Mytilus edulis: one gene and its partner. The protein of the gene in region 1 interacts with the protein of each later gene in a pairwise test. Links are inferred from orthologs where the notes say so. Each region holds a gene or a part of one and is shown in the gene's direction. Other genes may lie near its edges.

Evidence for each region.
Region 2: the proteins of guanine nucleotide-binding protein G(i) subunit alpha (region 1) and regulator of G-protein signaling 12-like interact in a two-hybrid assay, tested with the Drosophila melanogaster proteins (2 studies listed by BioGRID). The link is inferred for Mytilus edulis from reciprocal best matches to the Drosophila melanogaster genes Galphai and loco.

What each region holds. Positions count from the first base shown.
Region 1 is NC_092344.1:74,219,794-74,236,197, reverse strand, and holds the start of guanine nucleotide-binding protein G(i) subunit alpha, read left to right. Parts: upstream 1-9,806; 5' UTR 9,807-10,029; coding exon 10,030-10,147; intron 10,148-13,955; coding exon 13,956-13,998; intron 13,999-16,404. Other genes in the region: TBC1 domain family member 22A-like, read right to left, coding at 268-456, 1,589-1,803, 2,245-2,301, 3,969-4,048. UniProt on the Drosophila melanogaster protein: Guanine nucleotide-binding proteins (G proteins) are involved as modulators or transducers in various transmembrane signaling systems.
Region 2 is NC_092347.1:15,954,219-15,971,057, forward strand, and holds the start of regulator of G-protein signaling 12-like, read left to right. Parts: upstream 1-8,045; 5' UTR 8,046-8,172; intron 8,173-15,992; 5' UTR 15,993-16,079; intron 16,080-16,839. UniProt on the Drosophila melanogaster protein: Acts as a regulator of G protein signaling (RGS).

The sequences.
Region 1 (16,404 bases):
TCTCACTCCAATATATCCCAGAAACTTTTTATAACACTATATATACTAGATCATAGAGTTGCTGTATCATTGATATATATCACCAAATTGTCTAGATCAAGAAATATAGATGGATGAAAGGTATTATCTTGAACATGATGAGTGCCAAACTGCTAAAACATGTCTGATGGGTTTCATGTAAAGTTAACTTTGTTATTATCTTCATTACATAAAGTATAGTGGATCATTGTGCATATACCAATGCTTCTTTTTTTTTAACACACAAACCTAAATCAGTATTTGGTCCAGCCAAAACTGAATTAAACTTTTCCAACTTTGCTGCCTCTCTGTCGGGAATTGTTGGTTTAGAGAATTTGATAGGTGTAGACTTGGGTGGCTGCCATCCATAATTTAGACGGACTCCAACGCCGGGACCTGCGTGTCCTGATAATGCTGAAGGAACAGCTGTCACATGACCTGAAAAATACATTAACATGTGACATCGTTATAGTTATTGTGTGATCATGATATTGTCAATGGTTTCAGCAGTATACTATCTCAAAATCTTCCAACAAGAATGTGTCCATAGTAAACGGATGCCCCACTCCCACTATCATTTTCCATGTTCAGTTGACCTTGAAATTGGAATCAAAACTTTAATTTAGAATTAAAATTAGAAAGGTCATGTCATAAAGAACATGTGTACTAAGTTTCAAGTGGAAGTGACTGCAACTTCATCAAAAACAACTTGACCAAAAACTTTAACCTGAAGCGGGATGATCTGAACGGACGGATGGATGGACGAACGAACGGACCCACAGACCAGAAAACATAATGTCCCTCTACTATCGTAGGTGGGGCATAATTATATATTGCGTTAAATTTTTACAAGATATGTTTAATCATTTTTCTACATATTTCAGATTTACAAGACTAAGTCTCCAGTCCTTTTGGTTGATACACGAGTTAATTGGGCATGACTGTTTTCTGAACTTTTGAGATACACAAAACTGACTAGAGGTACTTTGAGTATTGTTAATACCAGAAAAGCTCATTAAATGATACCTTTACCTAGACATGCTAGATACATGATCAGAAGAGCAAACAAAGAACGCACCAGTGGACTATCGGAATAATGGCTTTATGATGTTAGTCTTTCAAAATAAGACTTAAATATATATAATTTGTAGATTTTAATGCATTGATCATGTAAAAACCTAATTTCATGTGCATTTTTTATATAGATTAGACTGTTGGTTTATCTATTTGACTTTGAATGGTTTTACACTAGTCATTTTTGGGACCTACATCATGTTAATAGGTTGCTGATTGGTGTGACTTCAGGCTCTGTGTTGAGGGGCGTCATTTGACACATAATTGTTAACTTTTATACATTGTGACTTGGATGGAGAGTTGTCTTCTTGGCACTCATACCACATCTTCTTATATACAATTTATTCTTGCTGATCTACATCATGTACATGTTTGACTCATTTGTAGACAAAGATGTTCTTTAAATCCTTCATATGTGTAGGGGTTAGATATTATTCAAATTATTGACTGACTGCTAATTCAAAGTCTTTAGATTTTCACATTGTATTATGCTTACTTTTTAATGCATTTGTTCGCTGTGTTTCACTTTTGGCCTTTTGTTGACGACTATGATTGTCTATTACTGCTCTAGCTGTTGACTGGACATCTCGTATTGACATAGGAATGTTTGACATCAACAGTAAGTCATCGTCTCCATCATCCCAAGCATCAGATGTTTTATTCTCAAAGTCATGAAATGCGTCCTTTTTACCACTTCTCATCTTCTCTTCCCTACAATAAAATAACGAAAAGCATCTAATGATGTTTCAAATTCATAAATGATTTTCCTAGAAATTGATTTTGCCTTGTCATTATAACACAAATTGTTGATTTGTCCTGGATCAAATGGTGTGATTTTTTGTTAAGAGAAATATTGTATCAATTACTGGTTCCAAAACTTAAATCATATATTTTGCCCTTTTTCACCTTTCATACTGTGGATTATTTTTCAATGAATACCAAATTATTTTTCGTAGATTTCATTGTCGGATGGTTATAGATAAACAACGAATTTAAATGTTCAGCAAAGTAACTATTTCTTTAAACTTGTATGCAGTCTTGGTCAAAACAACATTACATTTATTAACTTCTTAATTCTTTATTTTATACTATATCATGTAAATAAAATATTTAAAATAAAAATTTGTGTATTCAGTAGTATCAACAACATACTTTTTTGGTATTGACTCGTGAAGAGGTGGATGTTGGGCTCCATAAACAGGTTTTATGCTGAAAGAAAAAAGACATGATTTTGATCTTGTTAAAGATATTTACACAGTGGTAATTTCAAAGATTTCAAAATTTATAACAACTATAAGACCTGACTTCCACAGCACTAATACCAGAGACACATATGTGTATATATACATGTATGTCTTTGGTAATACTGATGATTGTCACTGCAGTGTGACCAGGAAACAAAATTCTAACAAAATCGTTTCGATTTCGGAAGTTTAAAAGCTTGGTATGAGCATGGTGAGTAAAAAACAATGAAGATTTTAAATGAAAAACATGAAAGATAATCTTATATGAACGACATATTCATTATGAAAAAAGATTTCAAAGTCAGGCTTTTGAATTCCCGTTTCCTGGGGAAAGTAAATAAATCATTGGGTAGGAAAAAACCCAGGTACCAGTTTCCTGTCAGGTAAGTAAGTGGTACTTTCTAGTGTGTGTAATATTCTTGTTTGATCATGCTGGCCAGTGGCGGATCCAGAGGAGGGGTTCCGGGGGTTGGAACCCCCCCTTTTTTTTGGCCAATCAATGCATTTGAATGGGAGCATATAGTTGGAACAACCCCCCCCCCCCCCCCCCCCCCTTTCCTCTGGGTTGGGAACCCCCCCTTTTTAAAATGGCTGGATCCGCGCCTGCTGACAAAGAAAGTTTGGGACAAAATCTAGTTAAGAAACTGGTTCCCTAAGTTATCACATATATATTTCCTTGCGTATACATCAGTTGGTAATTATTATCAGTAAACAGTCATACAGTAATGGAGGTCATGAAGCCACAAGTTTGCATACACATTTCATCTCTGCCAATTTGCGAAAGAAATTATAAGACTAAAACAGGAATGTAAATAAAGTTGTTTACGTTTTTTAATTGTTGTTAACATGACTGTATAAGCTTTTTTCAGACTAGGAGGAGAATAACGGAGAAAGTGAAAATTGATATTGGAAAGTAAATTATAAGATAACTTTCCGATGGGTAAGTGCATTTTCAAAAAAAAATCTGAAGCCCTGCAAAGAGCACTAAAAGAATTTGGTCCAGCCAAAACTGTATAATGACACTTTAGTTTCTTTTAAAATGTGGAGCACATCGGTACAAGAATAAGCTACATGAAGAGTCCAGAGTGTTCCGAATGGCAAGCTATGGACTAATGAGTTGTTACAAATCGGCCTAGCTGTACGGACGTGATCCTGATGTAAAGGACAACTAACAACTCCAACTGTAGAAGCTATACGGCGCCATACAAGGTAGTTATAGCTATACAATAAGTATAATAATATCACAACAAAAACAATAAAAAAAACTCATCTTTTATATCTTATAATAATAAACTTATAAGTCATATAAATTAACACCAACTAAACCACAACCATTAAAACAATGCAAACATGTAGGGTGCAGAGGGATCCTGGTAGCGAATGTGGATTTCAATAATTTTTATTGCCATATTGGACCATATAAAAATAACAGTTACACATAACAAATAATCTGGTTACTATTTCATGCATTATGCTTTCCTGCATCTTTATAAATGTAGTTATTTTTGTGTGTATTGTAAGTTTAAATATATATTATGCCAATAAAAAGAAGTCAATAGTTTTCACTGAGCTCACGTTGACAGGAAAAGTTTCAAACGCTTCTATTTTATAAACAGTATGTTTGCGGTATACCTTCCTGGAACATTTGATTCTTTCTTCCAGAAGCTTTGTTTGTTTGTGTCTTTCACAGGATTAGAACTGATAGCAGACATTTCCTGTGAAGTCTTATTACGCCGGTGTGATGCATAATATCATCGACATAAACTATAATTCAGTTTTCCTATTTTACAGAAAGTTGTTGATGATATGGCTGACGTTTACTTCCGATGATCGAGATGTACTCCCAATTCGTGGTCCATTCGGCGTTTGAATGGTCGTCTCAAAACTCTTTTTTTACATAAATTGTTAAATCGAATCAATTCGACAAAATGATTTACCATAAATTACCCAATTAACTAATTCAGCCATGTTTACTACACGAAATCGGTTATAGGTATATGTGGTAAACCGTTAAAGAAAGCAAAAATTATACAAACGACCTCCTATTTTAAAGTTTATTCGGCACCAATTAAAAACAGTATTTTAATAATAATAATAATAATATCTGTATTTAAAGAGAGTAACTCATTTGGATTACATCAATTTTCAATAAGGCTCTTTTAAAACAATAATAGTTACATTAAAAATAAACAGTGCATCAATAATAATGATAAATAAAGATTATATACAATTTAAAATACAATAAACAATATTATTATGATATGGCATTACAGTACAAATATGATGGTAATGTTTAAAGTACATATATTTGTATTTATGTTTAAATTCTGATACTGTATTTGAATTTTTGAGCATTCCGCACTTTTGGTCCAGTGTACGAGACAGTACTAGACTTATACAACTCTGTATTTGGTTTTGGAATTATAAAATTATCTGAGGATGAAAATCTCGTATTATATTTTTGGTTTGCAGAAGCTGATAAAATACGACTGCATGGACATATATTCTGGAGCTAAGCCATGTTTTGCCTTATACATTAGTAATGATTTGTGATAAAGTATTCTTTGTGTGATTGGCACAATGTTACATTCGTGAAATAATTATCTTGGAGGTTTGGTGTAATCATGTTCATTTAAAATTATTCTTGCTGCCCTTTTTTGCAGTTTTAGTAAACTATCTAATAGAAAGTTATTACAGTTTCCCCATTGAGCAACAGTAATCTAAGTGAGGTAAAACGTAAGCGTTATAGTACATTTGTCTAGCTTTGTGATTTAAATATTTCTTTATCCTTTTTAGTAAAGCTAAAGAAGAGTTAACTGTTTTTTATTATAGAATCGATATGAGAAGACCAAGAAAGAGATGCATAAATAAAAATACCTAGAACCTTTTCACATGTACTTTCTATAATTTGTTGTCCATTTAAAGCAAGATTAATGTTTTCATTTGATGTAACGGAAAGCTTTTGTTTAGATCCAATGCATATAGCTTTTGTTTTAGATACATTTACAGCCATTTTATTGTCCTCACACCAGCGAAAAATATCTTGTAAAACCGTATTAAGTTTTTGACTGATGCAACTTTTGTTTTAACCAATGACTGATATGGTGCTATCATCAGCAAATACATCGGTGTTATGATTAGGATTAGACAAAGGAAGATCATTAATAAAATTAAAAACAACACCGGTCCTCATACGGATCCTTGAGGTACACCCGTTTTTTGTTTTTGTACGTCTGATAATGTCACTGATTTGAAATAGATACTTTCTGATATCTGTCAGCCAAATATTATGTAAACCAGCGTAATGAAGTATAAGCAAATTTGTATTAATTTTGTTTAATTTTTGAATAAGCAGTTCATGATTGAGAAGATCAAAGGCTTTTGCTAGATCTAGAAAAACTGCCCCAACAAGATCGCCATCATCAATGGCTTTAAGCCACTTATCTATTAAAGCTGTTAACGCAGTTTGACAAGAATGATTTGCACGAAAGCCTGACTGCATTCTATACAATAAGTTGTGTTTATTAAGATATTTTACTAAGTGTGTTTTCACATGTTTTTCAAGGATTTTAGAAATGAGTGGTAAAATTACAATTGGTCTGTAATTAAAAAACATCTTGTTTTGAGCCTTTGTTCTTATAAACTGGTATGACTTTGCCAGTTTAAATGAAGATGGAAAAATACATTTTTTGATACTTAAATTAAAAATATGACAAAGTGGTAATGATGAGAGAGAGAAATATCTTGTAATAGATAAATGTATATGAATTTTAAAATAATAAGCAAAGTTAGACGATAAAAAGTGGACCTATGAAGAATATTTATTTATATAATAGTTCTTGAAAAATTGGTTATTATCGTGATACATGGACTGTCCTACGGGCAGTCCATGTATCACGATAATGACTATTTTTTTAAGAACTAGTATGTTTATTTCATTGAGAAACCATGTTTTGGAAAATTCTCATAAATTAAAAATGCCTACAGCGAACTCGAGTAGTTGCACGATTTCTATGGCAAACAGTGAAGACCAGTCGTAGTAATACTGCCATTCATTTTAGTGCAATTTTTCAGTATATAAATACTTAATCAAGTTATCTTGAATTTTATAATTAACGAAAACATATAATAAATAATTCAACAACCTAAATATAATATTAAAAACAGGAAAATGTTTTATAAAAGGTACATCTCTCTAAACAGAGAAACCACGCCCCACCGGTCATTAACAGAGAAATCACGCCCCAGTGGTCATTATCAGACGAAAACCACGCCCCAACGGTCATTATCAGACGGAAACCACGCCCCACCGGTCATTATCATGTAAAAGTTCGTTAACGACCGGTTTTCTGGTCCGTTTTTTTCTGTTAATGACCGATGGAATTTATTACTGAAGAATAATGAATGTCATGTGACCTCTTTTAATCCAATAAGAGAATCTTATTCTCAACGGATATGAAATAATGATATATGTCATATATGCTATCTAATTCATTAGATCAAGCCGGGACGTATAACTAACATACGCCCTTCATTAGATGAAACCCGCCAAGGAAATATAATATCAACGCTGGGACAGATGCATTTATTGGAATATCCTCAAATCTCTAATCTCATTTCTATTTGAAAGCTCTATGTTGTTGATAAATAAATTTCCATTTAAAATGAATTAAATTATAATATTGTCACAGACTTCGTTTTTACAACATACATAATTCAAAGAGGTTTTCTAAGTAACAAATATTAACTTAGACCGTTAAAATAATAAAGATCTATGGAATGAAATTGGACACAAGACGATTTTAAGACAAGTTTAAGACAATTTTCCTCCAATATTATGTGGTTTCTTTACCGTGTTGAAATGTTCACCTAGTTTGATGGGTATTTATATAATTATATATGTCTCGAAAAGTAGTTTCCGAACTTAATTTACACGGACGACCCGAAACTACTATAACACATTAAAAAAGGAAAGACATATAGTCTCAGCTGTAAAACAAAATGTGAGATTATGTGTTATGGTAGTCTCGTGCTATCTCACGAGATAAACTTTTTTGAAGTAATTTATCATGTCTTATTTTACTAGTAGTTGTAAGACATTTTTGAAGAGAAAACAATGAAAAATATATGAACGAACCTTAATTTAATTTAAACATATTTATTTATAGTGGATTGGGAAACAAGTGTTGCAATTTATATTAACTTGATCCCTTTCCACTTTGAACGTACCTTGCTCTCGTCTCACCCTGGTCTAGTGGAGGCTATTTTATTTATTTATTTTTCATTTATCATTTTAATTATTGCCCAGTATTGACTAATAATTACATTAGATGTATGTTTCATTATAATACTTTATTCTGATTAGCTAACAGCACATCACGTGTTATTCCGTAAGCAATTGTATCACTCAATAAAACTTTTCATTCATGATAACACGTGGTCCCACAATAAAGTGCACAGGTGAATTAAATAAAAACAATATAAAATTCGTTTTTTCTTGATCATAGCTAAAAAAATGTAATTATAAGTATTGAATGCTTCTTTTTGTAACTTTATAGGGTTGTAAAAGCGTTGACCGTGCGTACATTTTTAGAATGAAGCGCTTCCGCGCTTCATACAAAATGTACTTCGGTCAACGCTTTTACACCCCAATAAATTTACAAAAAGAAGCATTCAATTCTTAAATATGCATTTTAAGGGACCATTAGCTACGAGATATATGAAAACCCTAAAGTATTATTTTTCAAGTTTTCGTTTAATCAGTAATGAAAGTGAAATATATATAGTGACATGATAATTCGCTTTTAGTAGCCATTATGGTTCAATTTTTCCAAATAAAGCTAAGATTGCAAAAACTATGAAGGATAATATCAACTTGGCAGTTCTTTTTAATTTTGATGCGATGTCGTAAGTTTAGATTTGTAGGATATATAGTCTTTTGCGTAATCTGTGTTGCGCGTTATATTATTTTTTATCATAGAAATGCCAAATATAAACTAAAATAAAATAGGGGTTTCCCCATTTCGGAAAGAATTAAAATATGCACGTAGGCAGGCTATAAAATACAAAAGTTCCAATCATAGTAAAAGCAATAACAACAAGAATGTGTCCATAGTACTCGGATGCCCCATAATACACGAATGCCCCACTTGCACTATCATTTTCTGTGTACAGTGGACCGTAAAATTGGGGTAAAAATGTATTTTGGCATTAAAATTACAAAGATAATAACAGATGGAACATGATGTGTACCAAGTTTCAAGTTGATTGGACTTCAACTTCATTACAAAACTACCTCGAACAAAAACTTTAACCTGGAGCGGGACGGACGGACAAACGAACGGACGAACGGTACGATGAACGGACGGACGAACGGACGCACTGACCAGAAAACATAATGCCCCTCTAAAATCGTAGGTGGGGCATAAAAATCTACAAAAGATAACAAAATATAATATAAAGATTTAAATCAATAATTATTCACATATATAAGTAAACATTTTTGCATGATCTATAAGTGGATCCATGATAAAAATGTAAGCTTTTCTACAGTTTGTGGAGAATTAAGAAGAAGCTAGCCGTGGGCAGAAAAAGAGGGACGAAAGATACCAAAGGGACAGTCAAACTCATAAATCTAAAACAAACTGACAACGCCATGGCTAAAAATAAAAAAGGCAAACAGAAAAACAATAGTACACACGACACAACATAGAAAACTAAAGAATAAACAACACGAACCCCACCAAAAACTAGGGGTGATCTCAGGTGCAGAAACTATAAAGTAAAAAAAATTGACGAAATGTTCAATGTCATAGATCAAATTAAATTAAGCGATATATATATATATATTGCATTTCTATTGATACCTTGGGTTTCAAAAGTATATATTATGACAGCAAATCCTGTGACAAAAAATTATAAGTTTTAAGGTTTTTTTATTACTTCAGTAGGCATGATTAAGCAAATTATGAGTGCTGTATCTATCACTGCGAATATTATATTAATCATCGCAAATACTTATGATTTATCGCAAATGCTTTATTACACAAAACGCGAAAAAACCTACGCTTAAATGATTTTTGGAATATTGAAAAGAGAATTTTTCATCATCGAAAAGAGCATTTGCAATATTTAATATCGCTTTTTCAATTTTAATTATAGCATTTTCAACAAGTTTTTTGCTAGTACACGAGAAAATTAGTTATGACCCTCCAATGATCAATGCCCATCATAGATAGACGCCATATCAAAAAGAGCTGGGACTATAGTTAGTTTAATAGTCCCAGAAAGAGGAAATACTAAAATTTGCAGGTAAATTTGAAAGATACGGATTTAATGAATAAAAAATATTTTCTAGTCTCCATTTATAACCAGAATATGTCTCTGATATAACTTATTGATCGAAAAATAAAAGACATGTCTAATAAAAATAACAGACATAAAAAAACATGTTTTGAGAAAGTCCATATAATTATGTTAAAAAGCTAATCTCGTTCAAGTCTCGACAAGGTGCCCGTCCACATCCGGGGAGTTTATTCAAAAAGCATCAGACAACCGATGAAAATGTCAACGATTTACAGGAAGTTTTCTTAAAATTTGGGTGTTTCTTATCATTTTTCACACATATTTTTGGTTCATTGGATTTATTATATAATTTATGGTGTAATTTTTGGATTAACATTACAAATAAACTATGGGGTGTGCTACTTCTTCCGACGACAAAGCCGCATCGGAAAGATCAAAACAAATTGACAAAACACTTCGTGCAGATGGCGAAAAAGCAGCGAGAGAAGTAAAATTGTTATTATTAGGTAAGTATTTATGAAACACAGAAAACGGTTGATTGTTGCGAATGACTATTTTGACGAATAATTCATGTGCCTTGTCATATCAACTTAGTCTAACGTCGTACACACTCAAAAGAGTAAAACACATGATGCTACATTAAATTAAAATATATACATTATCACGAATAAATCGAACTCGACTTTAACAGTCACAATTTGAACAAAACTTTGACTTGAACAGTGCTTATTTGATTTGGGGGGGGGGGGGGGGTTCGTCCGAACCCCTCAAACTCCCCCTGGCTATTGGTACAGTAAGTAAACCAAATGCAATCATGTTCATAGTCTCACTGTTGACAATATTTTAAATTATACACCATTTCTATGGTCAGTGTGGATTATGCTGTCATTAACATGTTTGTGAATGTTTCGAAAGAAGGGTATTTATATCATCAAAAATTATGTGACGTCCCCTTTTTTCTTAAAATGTAATGTGCCAAATATGTCCAAATAATTATGAAGCCTATATAGAAGGGGGTATCTGCACGGAAGAACGGGAAATAAAATTTCACAATGAACAAATGATTAAAAATTGCTTGCACGTTGATCTTTTTACCGATTTCATGAAACACGGCAGGGCTTCCAAAAAATATTTGACCCAGCCGGACATTTCATATCTGATCCCGATTTTAATCCCTTAAGACTTACTCACAAAAGGCAATTATGGTAATCAGATGGCCATTCCAATGATTGACATTACATTACATTAAAAAAAACGATTTTAAACTTTACTTTGATATGATATGAATTTGATGTTCTGATGTACAGTCAGGGATATAACTCTATATGGTTATTACAGGAAAATAACATACATTTGTTAGTGTGAACTAAAAAATCAAAGAACTGTGATAACATGTTTCAAAGCCTTCAAAAATGTTAAAAAATGAAAATATAGATACTTCTAATTCTATAATGAAAATTCAAATAAATATAATTTAAATAAGCAATGATTTAGCATGTTCACCGTTCCTTGTATGGAGGGATAAAATACTTTCGATCTCGCTACACTGTACAGCGTAGACACAGTTTGTAATGGTGAAAGTTCCTCCATCGTTCAATTTTCATCCATGGAGATCCCTGAAAGGGACAATATACATCATTAGTTTAGTTAAAATGTATAAAAGTTCTATTGATATTACTTTTTTTCTATATGTATACTTAACTATTTAAAGATATAACAGTTGATAGTTTGCCAATTTTGCATAGTACACCTATATGTTATTACAGAAAAAATATGCCTGTAATAACTAAAGGGTGTTATCACAGCTTCTCTATATCACTTCAAAGCATTTGCTCAGACATACATCATGCTTAATTACAAGGTGTAAGTTTCTCAGTAATTCCCAAGTGTCTTATATAATAAGTTACATTCCTTTAATAACTAAGCCTTGTTATCACAGCTAAGTTTATCCCTTAATAGCCTCGACTCATTGATTTACCATGGTCCATCAAAAATGTATTAATTTAATTAAAAAATTTGTTATCAAAACTATGCATTTAGTTTCTGCCAAAGTCTCAAGAGTTCCCTATATATATAGCTAGAGCCCACTATAAATGAAATAATTTTACAAATAACAAGCATATGTTATTAGAGATTTAGAAAATTTAAGGTGCAAGTATCTGTGATAACAAACGCAAGTTATTTCCTGGAATAACCCTATAGAGTTATATCTCTGACTGATGTAACTGTTAAATTGGCAGTGCATCGTTCAAAACATGCACAATAGCGTGCTCATATCTGCCTTAGACTTTTTATTTGTGCAAAATGACGTTGTCAAAAACTTTACTTTCGTTTTCACATTGTTTTAATCGGATGTTGACTTGACAATGGTAAAACATGGACCATAAACGAATACGTAAAATTCGTGTACGTTTACAAAGCACAACTAAGAGAAGAAGCTCTTTCCACGTTATTTCTTCAACAAAATACTTCTGACGATTTTTCATTTAAAACCTTTTTAAATTTTTCATCAAATCATGTTGATAAACTAATTTCTAATAATTTTAATCTTTTGGACTAAATCAATTAGATACAAACTGCTGAAATGTAAGAAAGTAATTGTGAATAAACCGATCAATTTATACGATGTCTGGTACTGAACATAGTTCACCTGTCACCTGAACAGGTAGATTTCAGCTGTCCAACTACTAATTAGCCTTGATTAAAATTAGAAAGTATTGAAGTAGGTGTTGTTTTGATAGTAATTAATCATCATGTCACATTTACATGATATATAATCGGAAATGTGTTGATGTTAAAGGCAAAAGGTTGGGTCAAAAAGATAGTGAATTATGTAAAAATGACTGAAAAAGCCTTGAAAACTAAAAAGTATATGACCGTTTCATGCTTTGCCCAGCCGGACTTTTACCAGACATTATACAAATGACCGGAATATATGACCGTTTTGGAAGCCCTGAAACACAGTGAATAACGAATGTTTTTCACAGCTGCACGTTTAATAAAAATGGCAAAACATGTTGCACGGAAATAACACTTTACCACCCTCCATAAAGGCTATTACACTTTTTTGCTTTGAACTATCAACATAAGGCATCAAAGCAAAAGGTACACCTAATTGCTATTTGTCTGCAATTACTGGACATCACACAGGTTCCCAGAAATATTGACGTCACAATACAAAATATCTGATGCCACACATGACATTGCAATCCATTGGAAAAGTGATTGTTGTATATATGGTGTCAAATAGTTCAAGCGGGACAGATTTCCAAATAGCAATAAAATTTAGGTGTACAGTTCAAGTGTCACAGACTCTAAGATCAATGTCTGAAACATACATGTAACTTCTTAATCCGAAATTCTTGCTGGCATTAAAATAAGATGGCTCGAAATTTTAAAACTTCAGACATTTCAGACAAAATATCAATGTCACAGCTGGCATTTTTTCTGGCTCTTACTTTAACTTCATCCCTGACAGAAAAAGGTAAACTCTTCACAAACCAGCTTATTATTACCAAACATGACAAAGGAACCTTGATCTCTGTATTTTTCATAATTTTTCTGATGTACAATGTACATGTATACAGATTAGACGTGTTAACATTGTCAGTGTAAATTGGTGAAATTGGCTCTCTCATTAGCACTTTATTATATACAATTGACAACATCATTATACACATGTAGTTGACAAATGTTGACCAATATTTTTATAAAGAATAAGAATTATTTTATTAGACTTATCTGCAATCTATGTACATGTATATATATATTTCGAACATATAGGCCAGTTCCGGGATACAGTTTTCATACGAATCTGTCATGTGACTTCCATCACCACGTGACAAACATACATGCATAGAAATTTCCAACACATGTTGAGCAAAGGGGTGAAAAAGTTTTATTTTAGTACTTACATTTGTAAAGTGCCCACATTGATTTTAAATCTTGACACCAAAAAACTTTGGATCCGGGATTGGGGCTAAAGTATATTACATGTTAGCTGCAGAACCGTAGCTCTTAGGTCCTACATTTTGTACACATCCTTATGATATTAATTATTGTCCACAAATAGTAAAAAATATCCAAAGACCTAAGAGCTACGGTTCCGCAGCTAATTAAAAAATGTAGATGTATAATCATGTATGCCAAAAACTTTTGGAAACAATACTGAACTGAACTAAAACAACAACACCAGTAATGCATAAATAAAGGGTCATAAATTTGTAGTTTTAGTCCACCACATCTGATGTCTGAGAAACAGGTCAGCAAATATTCCTATTACACCTGACATGTATATATTTATTTATGTTACAGGTGCTGGTGAATCTGGAAAGAGTACAATAGTTAAACAAATGAAGTAAGTTTATTAGTAATGTAAACAGAAGAAGGCATATATGATGAAAACAGGTTTGATTACTTTATAAATTGTTCAGGTACATGTAACTGGTTTTGGGATTTTTTATCGCAGTTAAATCATTACAGGGTTGCAAGGAAATACTAGAATGACCAATCTCCATGGTAAACTAGAAGTTGGTCTGGGTCTATGCAAAACATATAAATGGTCTAGTAATTATAAAACTGCAGTTGTCGTCTGCCAATAGGTTCTTACCGTGCGAAGAGCGTGTCATTCTGAGAATTTTCTCATTAAGTATGGTTTCAAAAAAACCACATGTTTATGACCAATAACTTAAATTTGTAAATAGTAAAATGTAGATTTAATTTATACATGTATTCCTAAATGATTATATCCATGATGGGATAGAGCTTGTACAAATGCCCATTAATAGATTTTGATAATACATGTAAGTTGAATTTCCTGTTATTATAAGTGACCTTGAAGTCATTAGTCGACACACAATATATATGATTAAAATACTTTATACCTATCAACTTTTAATGTTCAGCTTTGTCATGTTTGTAATACATTGTATTTGTACATGTATGTGTAATTTTATTTACAAAAATAAAGTGAGGAGATGTGGTACAAACTACATAATGTATGATTGCCAATGAGTCAAATATCCAACAGATTTTAAATGAAGCATATACATGTAGATATGAGAAAATGTGGTATGAGTGCCAATGAAACAACTCTCCATCCAAGTCACAAGTTGTGAAAAGTGCATTGTAAACCATTATAGGTCAAATAAAATTGAGAATGGAAATGTGTCAAAGAGACAACAACCCGACCATAGAACATACAACAGCAAAGTATGGCCTTCAACAAAAAGCCTTAGCTCACACCGAAAACAGCTAGCTATAAAGGGCTAAAAAATTACAAGTGTAAAATATTCAAACAGGGAAACCAATGGTCTACTGCTTATTTATTAATTAAGCATACTACAGGTTACAAATTTTTAAAAGTTATGACTATGAGCAAAAACCAATACCATATCCAGCGCCTGAGGCAACCACTTTTATGTCAGGGCGATCAGAAGTTGTTAAAAGACAAGTAATCTGGTAATTACTGGCCCAAAATAAAACGTCTGGGCGACTGCCCTACACTTCTGCTAAAATTCAAATCATCGTAATTTATAAAATAATATTTAATCATGTAAAGAATTGGAGGTTTTCCAGAGCTGCTCCCCCGTAAAAAAAACAATGGAAGACAACTCTTGATTAACTAGACATTTGTAACAACTCGGCCCACAGGAAACTCGGTCCCGGACAGTAAATTATGACTACTTCCCTTGTTTTTACTTGCCCCCCAAAAATTTTTTCAGGCACTGATATCCCGCTTACATGTGAAACTTCATAGCTAAGACTTGTTAATTGATGATTAATTACTTTTCTTTTTAATTTAATTTCCTGGAAAATTGACCATAATACATGTAAGATAGTCTCACAGTCTTGTACACTTTAAATTTTCTTGTAACAGATTTAATGTGGATTATATATGTACAAAATGTAGTTCTGACACATCTTTTCTAGTAACAATGCAATGGGTCTAGTAGGATGAGAAATTTACAATTAATTCTTAAAATCAAAATAACGATTTGACCATTTAAAAAAATGTCTAATCTAGAGTCGAAATACTGTACTACTGTATACATACATGTTTATGATGTTTGCATATAAATACATATCTTTTTTATATAATGTATAATATAATATATAATATTATACAATTATTGACTTTTGATGAGGTTATTATCAACTGATATCAAATGTCAACAATTATTAAGTATTATATGCATCTCCAATTTTCTAGTGATTACTAATAGTACATTGTACTGAAATTGTAGTATCTGTTCCAAGATATTTAACTAAATAATGTTATCCTTAATATTATTATCTGTTTGGCAGTTGCTAACTTTAATAAGTTGAAATGTTAGATCAAATTCATTTATGAAAATGATATTTACTGTCACAGAAAAACCAGAAAAAGGAGAAAAAAAAAGATTATTTGCATGATGTCATAAATCTACATCATTGTCTTTGCCTAGAAAAAAAAAAGGTTCACATTCCAAATTTAAGATCCTCTCACGATTTTTCTTAGGGTGATTATACCGGTAATGTTTAATCAAAAAAGATTCCCCAAGCCTTAACAAATGATTAAAGATAAATTTTTATGCCCTCCCATAGCATTAAGTTTCACCCTTGTCCTTTTTAACGTTCGTCACAAAATTTGTTTCAGTTCTCTAACTTTAATTTGCCACAACCAAATGTTATGAAACTTATATACAATGCATATTACCATAAAACTCAGGTTATTTGGGTAGTGTCACTTTTACTGTTCTAGAAATAAGTCCCTTAATAACTT
Region 2 (16,839 bases), on another chromosome or scaffold:
CGGGATAGTCTACCTTGCTCTTTATCGATCTGACTTTCTACCCGAGAGTTTTTGACATGTCAAAAACATTCGAGTAAGGATCGAGAAGCAATTCACTCGAGAAGAGATCGAGAATTCGTCGAGTAACGGTCGAATTGATCGGGAAAGGATCGTGAAGGGATCGAGTTTGGTCGGAATACAACAATTTTACCGATCAGTACTCGATCATTTCGAATGTTGCTCGACTAATGTCCGATTATTTCCAGATTAACTCGACCAATGCCCGATCGCTTCCAGATCACTGCGATTTTTATATTTATTTTATCCCAGACCAATTCGACCAATACCCGATCCCTTCGCGACCACATTCGATCACTCTTCGATCTCTACTCGGCCATACACGAGAACACATGACTGCTACACGATTCTTTGAAAGTGTGTGCAGATCTGATTGACTCTCATAACTCTGCTTCCGCAAAAATATATTGGCAACATTTTTTTTATTGTACAAAAATTCCTCCATGTACAGTTCGTGTCTTAACTTTTGCAAGGAGAGGTAATTTAACATTTTAAAAGAGAGGCAAAAGACACCAAAGGACCAATCAAACTAAAAGGCCGATAACCGCAAACCGACACAGCAATAGCGAAAAACGAAAACCGACCAGAAGACAAACAGCAGTCAACATAACATAGAAACTGACTAAAAACTAGCAACACGTGACCCAGCAAAACCTGGGAAGATCTCAAATGTTCCGGAAGGGAAGAAAATCCTGCAATTTTGGCACCGGCGGATTTTTCAAATATGAAGTAATTGTGCAATAACATTGATTTCATTATTATTGAAAACTCCGCCGGTGCCAAAATTGCAGGATTTTCTTCCCTACCGGAACACCTGATATCGTACCAGGTTTTGTTGGGTTACGTGTTGCTATGTGCATGCGTTTTTGACAGTTCAAACAGGGTCAGCAAACTCTGATTAAACGATGCATTTGTTTCTGCTTCTGTAACGTTTAACAAACTATAACAAACAGCACACACCGTTTAGCAAACTTTGGTGAAAAAAAATGCAATCTTGATAGATATTTGTCAAGTTGTAAACAGTTTCAGAAAAGGCATCACTCCAGGGGATTGAAATTGTACTTTGGGTGAAATTTTGCGGAAATATGTGACATCTTTGCCCTCTTTTGCAATATTTTTTAGCAAATACATGCAGGTTGTTGCCATACAGCAAATAGAAAATGAATATTTTTAACCCTTCAACTACTGGATATCAAATCTATGAAAAATACTGATTACATACTTATGCACAATATATGACACAAACGGTACGCTTTATTTGTAAGATAGAAAGGACAAGGAGTGGTAAAGTTTATGTATATTGCCGTCTATCATAAGTACTAATCCAGAGACAAATCTCATTTTGTGGTGTCATTTCCCAAAAAAGAGCTATACAACTACCATAACATATCAGTGTCCACTATAATCAAGTTTTTATAAGCATTGGGTTCCTCTTTGTTGAGTTAGTGCAAGTCTCTCATACTGCACACACAGTGGTCATCGTGTCAGCCACTGCCTCACCTAGATTTCTCGGCGCCCGTTTCTGTCTACATCATTTTCTATGCACTCTTCAAACTCCGTCACAGCTTTCAGTGGCGTAGCTGGGTCATTTTTACGTGTACGTCCGAACCTTGGCGAGGGATATGAGGGGTGTCAACCGCTCAATGTCAAAGCACCTGTTGGTAGTGGGTTCGAAAGGGACGAAGCCCCTGAAAGCTATCGAGAATGAGATACCATAATGATTCAAGTCAGTAAAAAATCATTGATAACAACATATATATACTTTTGAATCTCAATCGTTTATTTTTTTGGTTAAATCTTGTAATATGTTAACTTATTCATCGTTTTAAACTTGAAGCTAGCCTAATGGTCATTGGTTTTAGAGAAAACGTCTAAACCAATATTACTTTTAAATAAGTTTAAAGGGTGTCGTGAGTGAGCATACAATCAACAAAAGCACCTCTTGATGAACATGAAAAAATAAATATTTCTAAGAGGTGCAGTATAAAAAAAATCTGGAACACCTAGGACTTCTTTCCACAAAAAGTGAAACAATTTATCTTTCCTTTAAATGGATTTAAAAAAAAATCTAAAATTTTCTTTTGATAATTTTTTCTTGATCTGGAATATTTCACGACAATCTATGAAGGTTTATAAATTGAACATGTAAAACAATTAATTGCGTAAAGAAGACCCCGGCTATCTGTCTATCAGAAAAGAACCGGAAAATGATCGAATGAAAACAAATGCTTTCAAAATTTTAGCTTTAGACACTAGTCAAAGAAAAAGTTTCTTCGGCATATTTCATAAATTTTGATGAAGGTTCGACAAGTAGTTAATGTAATTGAGAAATAACAAAATGTAAGCCCAAACCCAAACTGCGACCACTTATTAATTGCAGAAAGAAATACATTTTGTCTTTAAAATGCGGGCAAATAAAAGATATAATTGCATTAGTATATTACTCTGAATACTCTTTTGATCGTAAACAGTTTCTGTACAACTTTCGTAAAATTTCACAGAGAGTCATTCAAAAGACTTTATCCACATTCGGAACCTAAATATTTACGCCGCTTTGTCTCGCTTTTTGGACATAAATCACAGGCTCGACAAAAATACAAACAGCATATCGAATCTGAGCAGATAGTGAATTGCTTTTAATATAAGAAAAGTACGTAGAATTCATAGTGGATTCAGACTTTTACAAAAGATTCGAACAAATATATTAAATGATCTATTTGAGTAAATTTAGTCCCTTTTCATTCAAAACTACAATTCATTAAAAAAAGAAGCACAAGGCTGATGTGCTTTTGACCAGTTTTTCTTATTCTATGTCGATTATTTTGTTTTATTTTCAAAATTCAAGTGTACACCCGGGCGTTTTGACGTAAACGTAGCTACGCGCATGGCTATTAACCTGTCCCTCGGAGCTTTTTTAACACCTTGTCCACAAATCCAACTGCTTTATTCCTATGTAGATATTTTAAATGTATGATTTTACCTGGACCTTCTACTGAATATACCCAAATAAACGGAGAGTGTGTCCAGCTAGCATATATAACATTATACAGGGTCATTACGCAAGAACGGCCAACCAAATTCGCATTTGAATTGTGTTTTATGGTAATAAGCATTGTGTATACGGCGTTTCATAAAATTTGGTTGAAGCAAAATAAAATTAGAGAACGGAAACTAATAATGTTGGGACGTACGTGCGGACAAAGGTAACACTAAATGCCAACTCCGAAGCGTCGGGGAATAAAAATTTCCGAAAAAATGTGCATACCCGACCAATTCGAAATTATCCCTACGACCCATATATACGATCTGGTCTGGTCAAGATCAGGTTGAGATCGTGAATAGTTGATTTGGTCTAGATAGTCGAGTAAAGATCGTGTAAAGATCGTTAATTGATCGGAATTATCGAATAAGTATTCATTTTGTTGTCGGGATGAAGTCGTGTTAAAGGTCATTAAGGAATCGTGAATGGTCGAGTTAAGGTCGTGTACAGTCAGATGGTAGTCGGGTAGAAGTCGCAAACAGGCCCGATCAAGAATTTGGTTGAGCTTGCTCGTGGAAATTTGGACAGTCGGGATAATCGAGTTGATCTTGATCGGCAGTGTGAACCTAGCTTTAACGCTAACAGACGTGAGACGTTCTGGCGTGTAATAGTGGACACGTTTTGGCGAATAACAATTATCGGACACGTTTGGGGGTTCTGAAATGGGACAAGTTTGGGGATATTGAACATTACGGACACGTTTGGGGGAAATAGACACGTTTGGGGGAATCGGACACGTTTGGGAGTGTTACAGATATAATTAAATTAGATGTAAGTTTCAATAAAATACGTTATTCTGATTGGCTTACTGCACATCACGTGTATTCCTTAAGCAATTGCATTACACAATCAAACTTATCATTCATGGTTGATTTCTTGTTGTGCTCCTACAGTACTTGCGCATGGATCGATTTCTTGTTGTGCTCCTACTTGCGCAGATGATTTAGCCATACTTAGTAATTGTCCGTATGAAACGCAAATTTTAATTGATATGGCCTTTGATTTTAGTAAACGTGAGGCATACTTATACCAGCAAAAAGTTGTGTTATACAGTCTAAATCACGTCACCATGAGAAAGTAAATGATTTTTTTTGGAATTTAGGCAATTCGACTCTTCCAACTTCTAATAAAGCAACACATATAGGAATATGTCGTACAGACGAAGATTCATGTAAAGCAACAATAGATGAGAATTTAAAGAAAGCAAGAAGGACACTATTATAGTTTAAGGTTTATGTACCTTTCTGTAGCCATTTTTGTACGAACTTTTCAAACTTCAATTGTATCAAAACTACAGATATAATGAATAATAGAGATAGGCCATTTTGTACATATTCCAAGGGGAAACTTGTTGCAAAGCATTATTTTTTACTGTTCCATTGCATTTAATAGAAAAAGAGGACTTTGTGGCAAATAAATCAAGATTTTTATAGAAAATCCACAGTCTTTATCCTTGTACTCTCATATTTGGCAATTTGATGACTGATAGATATAGGATTATTGCATGCAGTGCTAGCATTGATTTCCTTAAAACAAGTTTATAAATGTAGTTATTGGTTAAGACAAGTATAAATATGGCAAAAATCAAGTACACCTTTTAGGGTGCGCTCGACTTTAGTGACTCAGCACGAGGTGTTTTGGAATTTACAGGTTACTTAGAACTTTTTGTAAAAAATAAACACTAGCACATCATAGAAAATCAAGTGAGTAATTTATGTTTCAAATTTTATAACAAAAATCTCTGTATTAAAGGCTGTGGATTTTCTATAAAAATCTTGATTTATTTGCCACAAAGTCCTCTTTTTCTATCAAATGCAATGAAACAGTAAAAAATAATGCTTTGCATCAAGTTTCCCCTTGGAACATGTACTAAATGGCCTATCTCTATTATTTATTATATCTTTAGTTTTGATACAATTGAGGTTTGAAAAATTCGTACAAAAATGGCTACAGAAGGGTACATAAACCTTAATGGGGGTTGGACTTTATGGTGAAAATGGACTAGATCCACAAACCTCAATGTCAATTATGAATACTTATATTATACCAATAATGTTATATGGATTGGAAATAGTACTTCCTAGAGGAAGATGTTTAGAAACTTTAAATATCCAATTTACTAAAGTTCTTGAAACAATTGTTATAAAAAAAAATTCACTTGACTGGGCGGAGTTTAACCGTTTCGCTCATAATAAACCTTTCCATCTATAGATAGGTGTTTTAGGATAAACTCATCAAAGAAGTGTTCAGTTATTCTTTTGTAAATTCCTTTGATGGCACTGATAGGTGATTAGAAATCAGTAATAATTATAACGGCATCACACACATCTTCAAATAGACTGCCCTTATGCAAACGTAAGCTCCGCCCGATCAGTTGAAATGACATTGGTAATATCTTTACCAAAAACAGTAGCCGATCCTGCTACATATATAATTTCTGGGATGTTACCTGTAGAAGCTCAAATAGATGTAAAAAAATTAACTTTTTATCGAAATATTACTAGACAAGGAAAAAGTTCTATTGAATGGCAACTAGCGGAAAGGCAATTAAATGTAAAATCTATTAATAGTAATAGTTGGTTTAGTTTACTGAGGAAAATATTTTTGAAATATGAACTTGATGATCCTGCACAATATTTAGTCAATCCAATTTCTAAATAGCAATGGAAAAGGGAAATAACTTCCAAAGTTCAAAAAATCTTGATCGAGAAGATACTGAATCAAGCAAAACTTTATAACAGTTTAAAATATTTATCATTGATATATAAACCAGGTCGTTGTCATCCTATTGCAAATACAAATACTATGAATTCAAGGGAAATTATTAGAATTCCTACAAAATTGAAAATAGCTACTGGGAGTTACATTCTGCAAACAGTTAGGGCCAAGTTTATAAATAATACAGAACTGTCTATATGCAAACTGTGTAATGAAACAGAAGAAACTTTACCACATTTTTTATTAACGTGAAAAGTCTAGAAGATATCAGAAAACCAATTTTGGTGTTTAATATGAAAGATGAACAATTTGAAATTTTACAACTGATTATAGATCCCTTTACTTACATGGCAATGTTAAGAAATGAAAAAGTTTTTAAAGTGAAAGGTATAGACTGTTGCAATTAGATGATATAAAGAAAAAGAAGAGAAATTAAGTAGATAATAACATTATACATGTTATATGAATCCTAAGTGACGATTGGTTGTCTACTCTTAAACAGTGATATCTTTAGATAAATATTTTAGATTTTAAAGTATTTAATGAGTTGATGCTGCCTATATTGACATTAAGCCCAATTTTATCGTCAAGAATATGATGTACAATGTAAATAGTGTATAGTGATATTGGTGGAAGATATTTTTATTCATGTTGTGAACTCCACTACTCGGAAGAGGTGTGCCGCTACATTGGCAGAATGTATATCAGTGGCGGATCCAGCCATTTTAAAAAGGGGGGTTCCCAACCCAGAGTAAAGGGGGGGGGGGGGTTCCAACTATATGCTCGGACCAAAAAAAAGGGGGGTTCCAACCCTCGGAACCCCCACCCCCCCTGGATCCGCCACTGTATATTACAGATTACAGATTCATGATAACACGAGGTCCCACAAAAATGTGCACAGGTGAATTAAATTAAAAAAAAATGATAAAATTCCTGTTTTCTTGAACTCAGCTAAAAAATGTAATTAGTAAGTATTGGATGTTTCTTTTTTGTAACTTCATACTAGGGTTGTATTAAAAGCGTTGACCGTGCGCACAGTTTAGAATGAAGCGCATATATATACGAAATGTGCTTCAGTCAACGCTTTTACAGCCATTATGAAGTTACAAAAAGAAGCATTCAATTCTTAAATAAACTTGACTCAAATTAAAAGCAGGGAATTTTTCAAAATCAGTACAAATATACTCGATGAGACTTCTGATTGGATCTAACAAAACCAAAGTTCTTGCTGACTGGTGGTTTTTTCTTTTCTTTTTCTTTGTGGAACAGTTTAAGTTTTTTTCAAAGAACGAGATATAATAATAATCTTTATTTGTCATATAAGTAACATTATAACTTGTGACATAAACAAAAGTAACAGCAACAATAAAATAACTGAGTTAAACACACACATATCTATATATATACAAGTAAAAGTAACTAAGAGTCCCCTGTCCTCAGCTCTAAATTAAGACTGTTTTATAAAGGAACCTGTTTTTTCACTTGGTTTATATTAGAAGGATTTAGTAGGACTACTAGTTTTTCAGTATCAGATAGATTTGGAAACATAGGATTATCTATATTGCCATGTCATTAAAAAGTTTTATACGTAAAACATTATTAATTTGACAGTGGAGGAGAAAGTGATTTTCATCTTCTAAGGTTTTACAAGTTGGACATGTTCTATTGTCTCGAGGTATTTTTAGATATCTGCCCTTCTCAATGAGCAAATTATGGTCACTAATTCTAATTTTTGTAAATAAACGTCTAGTTTCAAAATTGTGATATTTTTTTGTAAAGAAAAATATAATCACGTTTCTTGTCAATAATCAGTTCAGTTTCGTGTATATTTCTCCATTTTAAATTGTGGAGCACTACCCAAAGGGTATAGTTTTAGCAACTATGTACACCTTCTTCTACTTCTACCGGATAATGGCCACAATCAACTAATTGAATATTTTGCCATGACTTAAACCTTAAAACACAAGGAAACAATTAATTATATACAGATGACTGAATTTGGTTATAATGATCACTAAATGATAGATATCATAATTAATTCATAGGATTGTCATCATAAAATTTTAAAAGATAAATAATAATTCATATGTGCTGGGTTGTAAGAAAATGTTAGGAAACAACTGCATATATTTACAAATAAGAATTAAAATGGTCTCAAATTAAAATTACTTTATCATGTTTATAGTGTAATTTGAATTTAAATATTTTGCGGCAATTTGAATCACCCAATGGGATTACGGCTGCGGTTCACGTGACCTTACAGTCGACCATTTTGGAAGAACAACAACAAACATCGATGGAATCATAAAAAGTTTTAATTACATGAACATGATAACGTAAATGTGTAATTGAAGAAGGTATTTCTTTAGATATTTTTTTAACTCTGTATGTGGCAGTTTAAAAATCCCGAATTGCTTTAAACCCATCAAATAATATAAAATTGAAAATGGTACCTGGCAGGTGCCCGAAGTAAAATTTATTCGAGTAAAAAAAAACAATGCCAGGCCTACCAGTATATGCCAATTTAAATTCAACTTGTCTCCAAGTTTAGTTAATGCTTTTCTTTGTTCGTATTCAAAGTAGGAATAGTTGCTTTATGAAACAAATAATTTTTGTTCACTAGACAAAAATGTTTAGTGCACTGTTTATCGGGTCGTTTCGCCCCAATACATGTAAATTCGCCCCCAAATCGTTTAATTCTTTTTCTTGGCACTGCTCTTATGTTTTACAAAATCACATATCAACTTATAGTAATCAAAAAACAGACTGACTAATTATAATACAATCACTCAGGCAGCCACGGAACATGCACACACCCTCAAACCAAATTCCATCCTGCAAAACAAATACAGCATTTTTTTTCCATGAACAATTAAAAACTGGATCACCCTTCCTTCTTCTTCTTTTATAGTAGTTGGAGCCTAGTAGTTAAACTCAATAATGAGTACTCAATACTTGTGCGTTACTCAATAATGAGTACTCAATACTTGTGCGTTACGTAGGTGTTGGTAATGTCTATTTACAATAAAAGATCAAAGATCAGAAAAGAAAATACGGTGCATGCTGCGAATGTAGGACAGAAAGTCACAGGACAAAAAGTCACAGACAAAAAGTCACAGGACAAAAAGTCACAATTCATTTTTTCTGATTATTTTCTTTGAATAAAAACCGCTTATTTCTACAAAAATATTTTTGTATTTTTCTTGAACTAGTGTATATAAACCAACTTTGTTAACAAAATTTATCAAAAAAATATCAAAGATGATCAAATAATTGTTAATAAAACAAAATGTCAAAGTGGTTTGGCACTTAAATGGCTTCATGGTTCCAAGAAATGTATCTTTTGCCTGATTAAAATTAAATAAATCTTGATTTTTCAAGTATAATGACAGGGCCGTAACTAGTGTTCGAATTCAGGGGAGGCAGGGTTTTGGGGACGCCGATTGAGGCACAGCCCCCCCCCCCCACGCCGATTTTTTCCCCTCAGTCAAATGGCTAAAAATGACCTGTTTTCCTTCGATTTTCTTACTTTAAAATTCATCAGTATTGCTTGAACCTAGAAGCAATTTTTATGCAAAAACAAACTGAGATTGCTGTTCGGGGTGAGACAAAGCTCCGTCTTGAAGTCCGTACTTTGAACTATAATTATTAACATTAAATACATTGTGATCACCGATTTTTTCTCTCTCAATAAAATGTCTAAAATTACCCGTTTTCCTTCAATTTCCTTCCTTTAAATAAGACTCATCAGTAATGCTTGAACCTGGAAGCAATTTTTTGCAAACATTTATTATCAGTATTTAAAAATATTTTTGTTAGAAATCAAACTGATAAGTTAAAAAAAACCATATAAAGCAAGATAATAGAACGCAAGATATCTTTTTTTATCGAGGACCTTGAATTTCAATATTGTTGAAAGCTGAAAAGACATGTTTAGAACTACAACGAATGGGAGTGTTTCAAAACTACTAAGGCATTGACCATAATGTTCTCGTATGATTGGGAGACGTACTGTCCGACTAGACACGTTAAAAAAAAATATCAAAAAGCTGATTCAGCCGGTAACGTATTTCCGATATCATAAAAGATTCACAATACAAAGGGAAAGAACTTCCCCTGCTTAATTGAGCCCCCAAATAAATGTGATTAGTTAAGTTTTATTTCAAATTGTTGAAAGCAAAGTTTCATATGCGACATAGGAAATACTAAAATCAGATGGATGACCACACGAAAATACTCAAATCAAGGATTTGTATAGTAAGACTATACAAATCCTTGCCTAAATCAAATCTTACTATACAAATCCTTGCCTAAATCAAATCTTACTATACAAATCCTTGCCTAAATCAAATCTTACTATACAAATCCTTGCCTAAATCAAATACTGAAATGGTTCACTTTCGATAAAAAATTCCGGAAAATGACAGATATATCACGTATCATGATAACTGTTAAAACTGTAAACGTGTGTGGTTTATAATACAAATTCAAGTTCTTCTTGTACATCTTGTCAATATTTCATTTTATTACTTAAAAAAAAATTCTAGTGTAGAAAATTCAGGGGGCCTCCCCTGCCTCATAGGTAGTTACGGCCCTGAATGACACATTTCCTAAACATGCTAAACTTTAATATGAATATATGTATTAAAAAGTAAATGTTTCAAAATATTTCTCTTATATATTCAAACAATTGTCACCAAATTATTTGTGACTTTTTGTCCTATCAAATTTGTGACTTTATGTCCTGTGACTTTTTGTCCTGTGACTTTCTGTCCGTTTACCCATGCTGTACAGTTGGTGCAGGATAAAATCATTCCATCATCTAGTTAACCAGTGTCTTGAAAGCTTTGATAGTGGGAGCTTTCACTGTCGATTCCGGTAATTTATTCCAGGCTATTTAATACTGTTCTTGGAAAGAATGAGAATTTGTAGTAATCATGTCTTCGGCTGAAGATGGTGTATGCCATGGTACATGTATTGTAGTGTCTTGATGTTCTATTTAGTCGAATGAGGTAATTATAAGTATCTGTTGGAACTGCTACTAGTCCATTTACAATTTTGTAAAATAGGCATAATCTGATATTCACTCTTCATTGGTAGAGAGGTATCCAGTTAAGCTTGCTTATCATGCTTGTGACACTTGATTCCTTACTGTAGTCGTTGAAAATATAGCGAGCTGCTCTTCTTTGTACCCGCTCTATTTTGTCAATATTTTCTTGTGCATAGGGATCCCATATGGCTGCGCTGAGTATTGTAATGAGCTACTCTTTATACACATTCGAAGCAGCCACCTCAACCTAGTATACATAGACAGTAAATACATCATGCATTGTCATGTGTACAAATATTTTTATCTTACTAATAAAAATAAATATATATATAATTTCTTCATACATGTACATGTCAAATTACTTCCCATCTCAGAATTGATGACCTTACCCTGCACACCCTTGATTTTCATTCTGAGGTGAACCCTGATTTACATGTAACTGTACATGTAAATCAATATTTGGGTAAACATTTGCCAGTATAATTTCTCTACAGAAAGTTCTTACATTTATGAATAGTATAGCACACACATGTACATTAATCTTGTGCATTCTATACACTGTTAAGTTATCACTGCTAGTCAACTCAGGGCTCAAGCTACCATATATGCATGCGACTTGGGCAACAAATTTTTCTTCATTCACCATGGAAGTATTTGTACAAACTACTGATCAGAACTGGCCCAGCTATGACTGAAATCCAGTTCTTATGATTATGACTATATGGAAGCATGAATGGCACATGTACAGCTGACAGAGGAATATTGATCCCAAAAAGAAAAGCTACACATTCAATGCGCATTAACATACTTAGATCTACTTGTTTAATGTATATATATATGCATTGTTTCAATTTATTAATTAAAATTACTCAACTCTCAGTCTGCGAATATCATCATTGATCATACCATGTCCAAGCTTAACTGTGTTAAATTTATATAACTTTTTAATGAGAAACACTGAATTTCATAAACATGATAACAGAGTTTTTTTTAAATTGAATTTTGATTGATGTAACAATTTTCTTTTCCTTTTTGATATAAAAAAAATCTTTTTTATTATTGCTAGATTTTGAACTGTTTTTTTCTGACAAGAGGTACAAATTGAACAGTATAAAAAAAATAAGATGAACATCAAATTACATGTATCTCTATTTTCAGGTGTTGTGACAATGCTAAGTAATAATCCCTTGCCCCCCTTTCCATGACTTCTTAACTACATATACATGTACCTTAGTTTGCTTGATTGCCTTTAAAAAGCTTTAGCTATGAGAGCAAATAAGATTAAAATGGGATCGAGAAAAATGTCTAGGTACATGTGGCTTAAACTATTTTTAGAAGCACTTACATGTACCTGCATGGTACATATTACATGTACATCATGTACATGATCATCAGGTCTGATATTTGCGACTAGTGTTCACAGTTAACATACATTTGTATATGCATGTTTCATGTGCAATGAAGCAAGCTGAAAGGGGTTCAGTTTGCTTCAATCTTTTAAAAGAAAGAGAAAATTCATCTGGTTGTTTGTGCTTATTTTCTTATTTTGAACATTAAGGGCATCCGATACAGTTTCTCGATTAAATGTCATTTTTATAAATTTGTAATATGTTGTAGGCCTTGGCGAGATATAAAATAAAACACAAAATAAAACATAGGTCACCGTGCTTGTTTTCGAGAAAATTGAGGCTAAAAATTGGGGATTTGTGCAATTTTGTAAAAAAAATTAGGCAATGTTAAAAAAAATTTGGAGCAGATATGTTTCGTCGTAAATTATTAAGATCGGGTTCAATCTGAAGCTGTGATAAGTGACAAAAAGGAAAAAAATAAATCACTACATGAATAACTATACAATTATTCAAGCCTTGCTTGTCATTGCGGACCAGATGCTCAAAGTGGTATTTTTTTAAACCTAAAAAAATAAAAATAAACTGTTTCTGAAAATGTCATTTTTATGATTTTTCTGCATAAATTGCATTTTGTCATTCTTTCTCCAAATCCCAAATAAAAAATATAGGTCACCGTGCTTGATTCCATGATAAACACGATTTATCCTAAAAATTGCGTCCCCCCTTTGCAACCTCAACGTTAGCGCTAAAGTGCACGACGTCGTTGGCAGACAATTTCGACGTTATCTCTGTAAATGACCGGAGACATTTTTCAGATGTATAAATATTGCTTGTAAGATGTGTAAATTACTATCTATAAATTGGTAATATTGTTTCCGGAAATAAAATCATGTGAATAACAAATCCCTCTCTCTGTTTGTGGTCTAAGTGAGAAATAAACATCTCAAGAAAAGTTATTACGGACTGTTGATAATTTTTACGGCTTTTAAAATTAAATACTCGGCAATTTAGAACTTGACATGCATACAGGTACATTTACTGTACACACTCGTATATTATTTCATACCGTATGTTGACCTCTAGATTTATTTTCTTTTGTTTGGTGGGCTGCTGTTTCATTACAAATAATCCTTTAAATCCTTTTATTAACGTTTTAATCACTAAGAAATCCGGTTTTGTTGATACGAATTAAAAGTTAACGTTGTTTGGACAGTAAATCAAATTAAACGCGAATTAGAATTTACGTTAGTACGTAAAACATTTTGAATGCGAATTAAACTAATTCGAATTAGTTGCATGTAATGCGAATCGAATTAATTCGAATTACGTGTGAACTCATTACAGGGGTTAAAAAATCCACTAGCCTGACGCCCGGGACTAGATCATTTACGCCTCGGGCAATTAAAATGTGTAATCCGATATGCCCGACTGACTAGAAACAAAAAATTCTTGGCGTTTCCAAAATAGAAAGTGAAAAATCCCTTCATCACTATTCTAAGTTAGCGATTTCGATTCAATTAAGTCATCCGGGATTTCAAGAATTTGAACTGGTTTGTACAGGTCCTGTTGTACATATTTTAAAAATAGAACAAATAACTCTGTTATGTCTGGGTGGCCTGGTATCATGTGTTGATTGCAATTCTCGTAATTTAAATATCGATTTCTCATACCATGGCTTGGGGTATAGAACATTTTCAATTAACGGTATTTGGGGGTATGATGTATTGATTGGTCATGATCTGTCTTGTTGCACAGCTCTTGAGCACGAAACCATGCAACAAAATATTTCTTAATATTTTAGTACGGGAACCCCAGGGACTTCGTCAGTTTCAAAACGAAAAACGGTAGATGAAGGGAGTAACCAGGATGAAATTTTATCCCCCAAAAATGGTAAATACGACAAGAAAAAGCCGCTGTCCTGTCAAGTCTTTAGTGCGAGACTCACACATGTTCATGCTTATTTGGCGGCATTTTCCTTTGATCTCTTGTTTTTTTTTTCTCTTTGATCTTTACAATTTGGCCAAATAAACACACAATCATTCACTTCCTGAAAAGTTGGCAGAACTGTGACACATTGATTCCTCTGGCAAGGTTGGCTGTTGCTGATGGAAAAAAACAGACAATGCTCTGTGAATATTGCCGTTAGTTGCCCTAAGCACGCCAATAAAAAGTCTGCTTTGAATGTGGGAACAACTAAGTTAGGTTAAGCACCAAAATAATGAATAACAGATCAACAAAAATGATTAAATACAGTGTATAATGTCTCCTTCAAAACAAAGGACACCCATTTTATATTATGCATCAAACTCTTGATTTTTAAGGCATACTAGGGCTAGCAGGTCAGTTTTGATGGACTAGCAGTTCTTCCAACAGGGCTAGTAAAATCCTGCTGCCAATAAGTCCTGGGCTAGTAAGTTGTAACAATTTTTTTTAACCCCTGCATTATTATCCTGCAAACGGAACTTCTTTTTTTGTACATAAATTGTAGCACATAAATTATTTTTTTCACCGTATAACGCGTACATAAAATATCGCACGTCCATTCCTCTGTCTGTCCTTCCGGTCCTTCTGGTTAATCACATTTTTCAAGTGTACAATTCTTGTTAACTTTCTGTAAAACTGATATCGTATAGACATGCTCGAAAATCACTGCATATCAACTATTCTTTAAAAGAGTTATGCCATTCGGAAATATTGATTATATTGGAAATTGCATTGTATTTACTGTCATTCCGTCATTTCTCTAATATATTTATAAAAAATATTTAAAAAAACCAAAATTAACAGTTGCGCTACGAGCGCATGATACGCCCGTCGTCTTATGATTTTGAATAATATGCTGTACCATGTTTACGACGGACAGACGGACCGTCGCGGGCATTTGTATACCATAATATGTCCCGTCAAAATATTTACGGATGTATAAACATATTGTTGGCTATTGCCTTTTGTTAGATAAAATACGTGCAACGTTGAAGAAATAAGAGCTTTGTTCTTTTATAAAAGTTGTGTCATTGTTTATATTAGCGGCGTTTACCTACATTTTCCGTATTAGTTTTAAAATATCATTGGTTTCTTGTGATGTAATAAAATGTCAATCATGGATGATGAATGATAATAAAAATGAAAATTGACATGCAACAAAAGGGTCAGTCGTCTTGAGATTGCTCACTATACGATATTTTGTTGAAGATCTCAAAGAAACAGTAATTTGTTTTATTTCTTATAATGTTATTAGACTGTTATCCTGTTAGAATCGAATGCACTAATATTAATGGCGTAGAAATTAGCATGCGGGAGAAAGAAACAGAAATTGGAGAAGAAATTGGAGCATAAAAATTCCACATTACGTTTCTTATTACGGAACATTACACGCATTACGTCCCGCAAAAAGTGACGTTTTGCAGGAATTCGAACGCTTAACGTCACGCCAAGAGTTAACTCCCTTGAAACTGTATCGGATGCCCTTAATTGCATGTCAAGAAAGGATTAGCCTACACTAATACATTAGTATTGATATGAACATAGTCTTGGAAGTAAATGGTACATTTAGTACACATGGTACAAGTAATTCAATTATTTAACTGATTGCATATATATTTAAATGAGATATACATACATATCTTGCTCCCTTATTTATACCTGCCTACCACAGTGGTACATATATGATGTATGACAATGTATGGGGACAATCTTGGTCAACATGATCTTTTGGAATATATTTTGACTTGCTGATTATACAATTGGAATAACTTTTATAAAAATTTATAATTTCAAGTTATAGCCTAGCAGTAAAAGACACAGAAGTAAGAAGATGTTGCAGAAAAGTTTTTTTCTGGATTAATTATATGGAATAATATAACTTGTAAGTAAATTATAAAAAATATTCCTGATCAGTATATATTATACATTTGTACCCCCACTCTACAAATGCTCTAAGTCTAGATATATATAAAAATATCAGAAGATGTGAAATAATTGCCAATGATACAACATTCAATCAGAGACCAAATGATGAAGAAGTGAACAACTATAGGTCACCATACAGCCTTCAATAAAGATAAAAAAAAAAACCATACTGCATATATATATATAGTCAGTTTGCGCCCTAAGCTACTAGTCTGATGGCCAAGTAAAATATTAATCAGACTAGTACATTATGTAGTAAGTATTTGCAAAACTTTGTTAGGATACCTTAGAAAAATGAAGGAAAATTTGTTAATTTCATACTACATTGTTCTAGTAGTTGGATAAGATTTTGGTGCCAACTACTGCATAGTGCATTTGTAAGCTATAACAGCCACCAAAAATGACATTTGATAGAGATGACATTATCATGATTATTCCCTGGCTGTATTATCTACAATTACAACTCCATTAAAATTTCTTTGATACCACAATAGCTAGGGTTTTGTGCTTGACCATGTTGACTCGGACTGTCTAAACATTTTTAGTGCTTGAGTATGGCATTAGATTGAATGCTTGGTAAGTATATACAGTCAGGGGAATTACTGAAATAAGTGATTTTTCAATTATTTATTTACATGTATGTAGCAAATTCAAAGTTTTGATCAGTTTTGTCACAAACTGTGATTTTGTAGTTTTACCAAAATTTTAACACATCG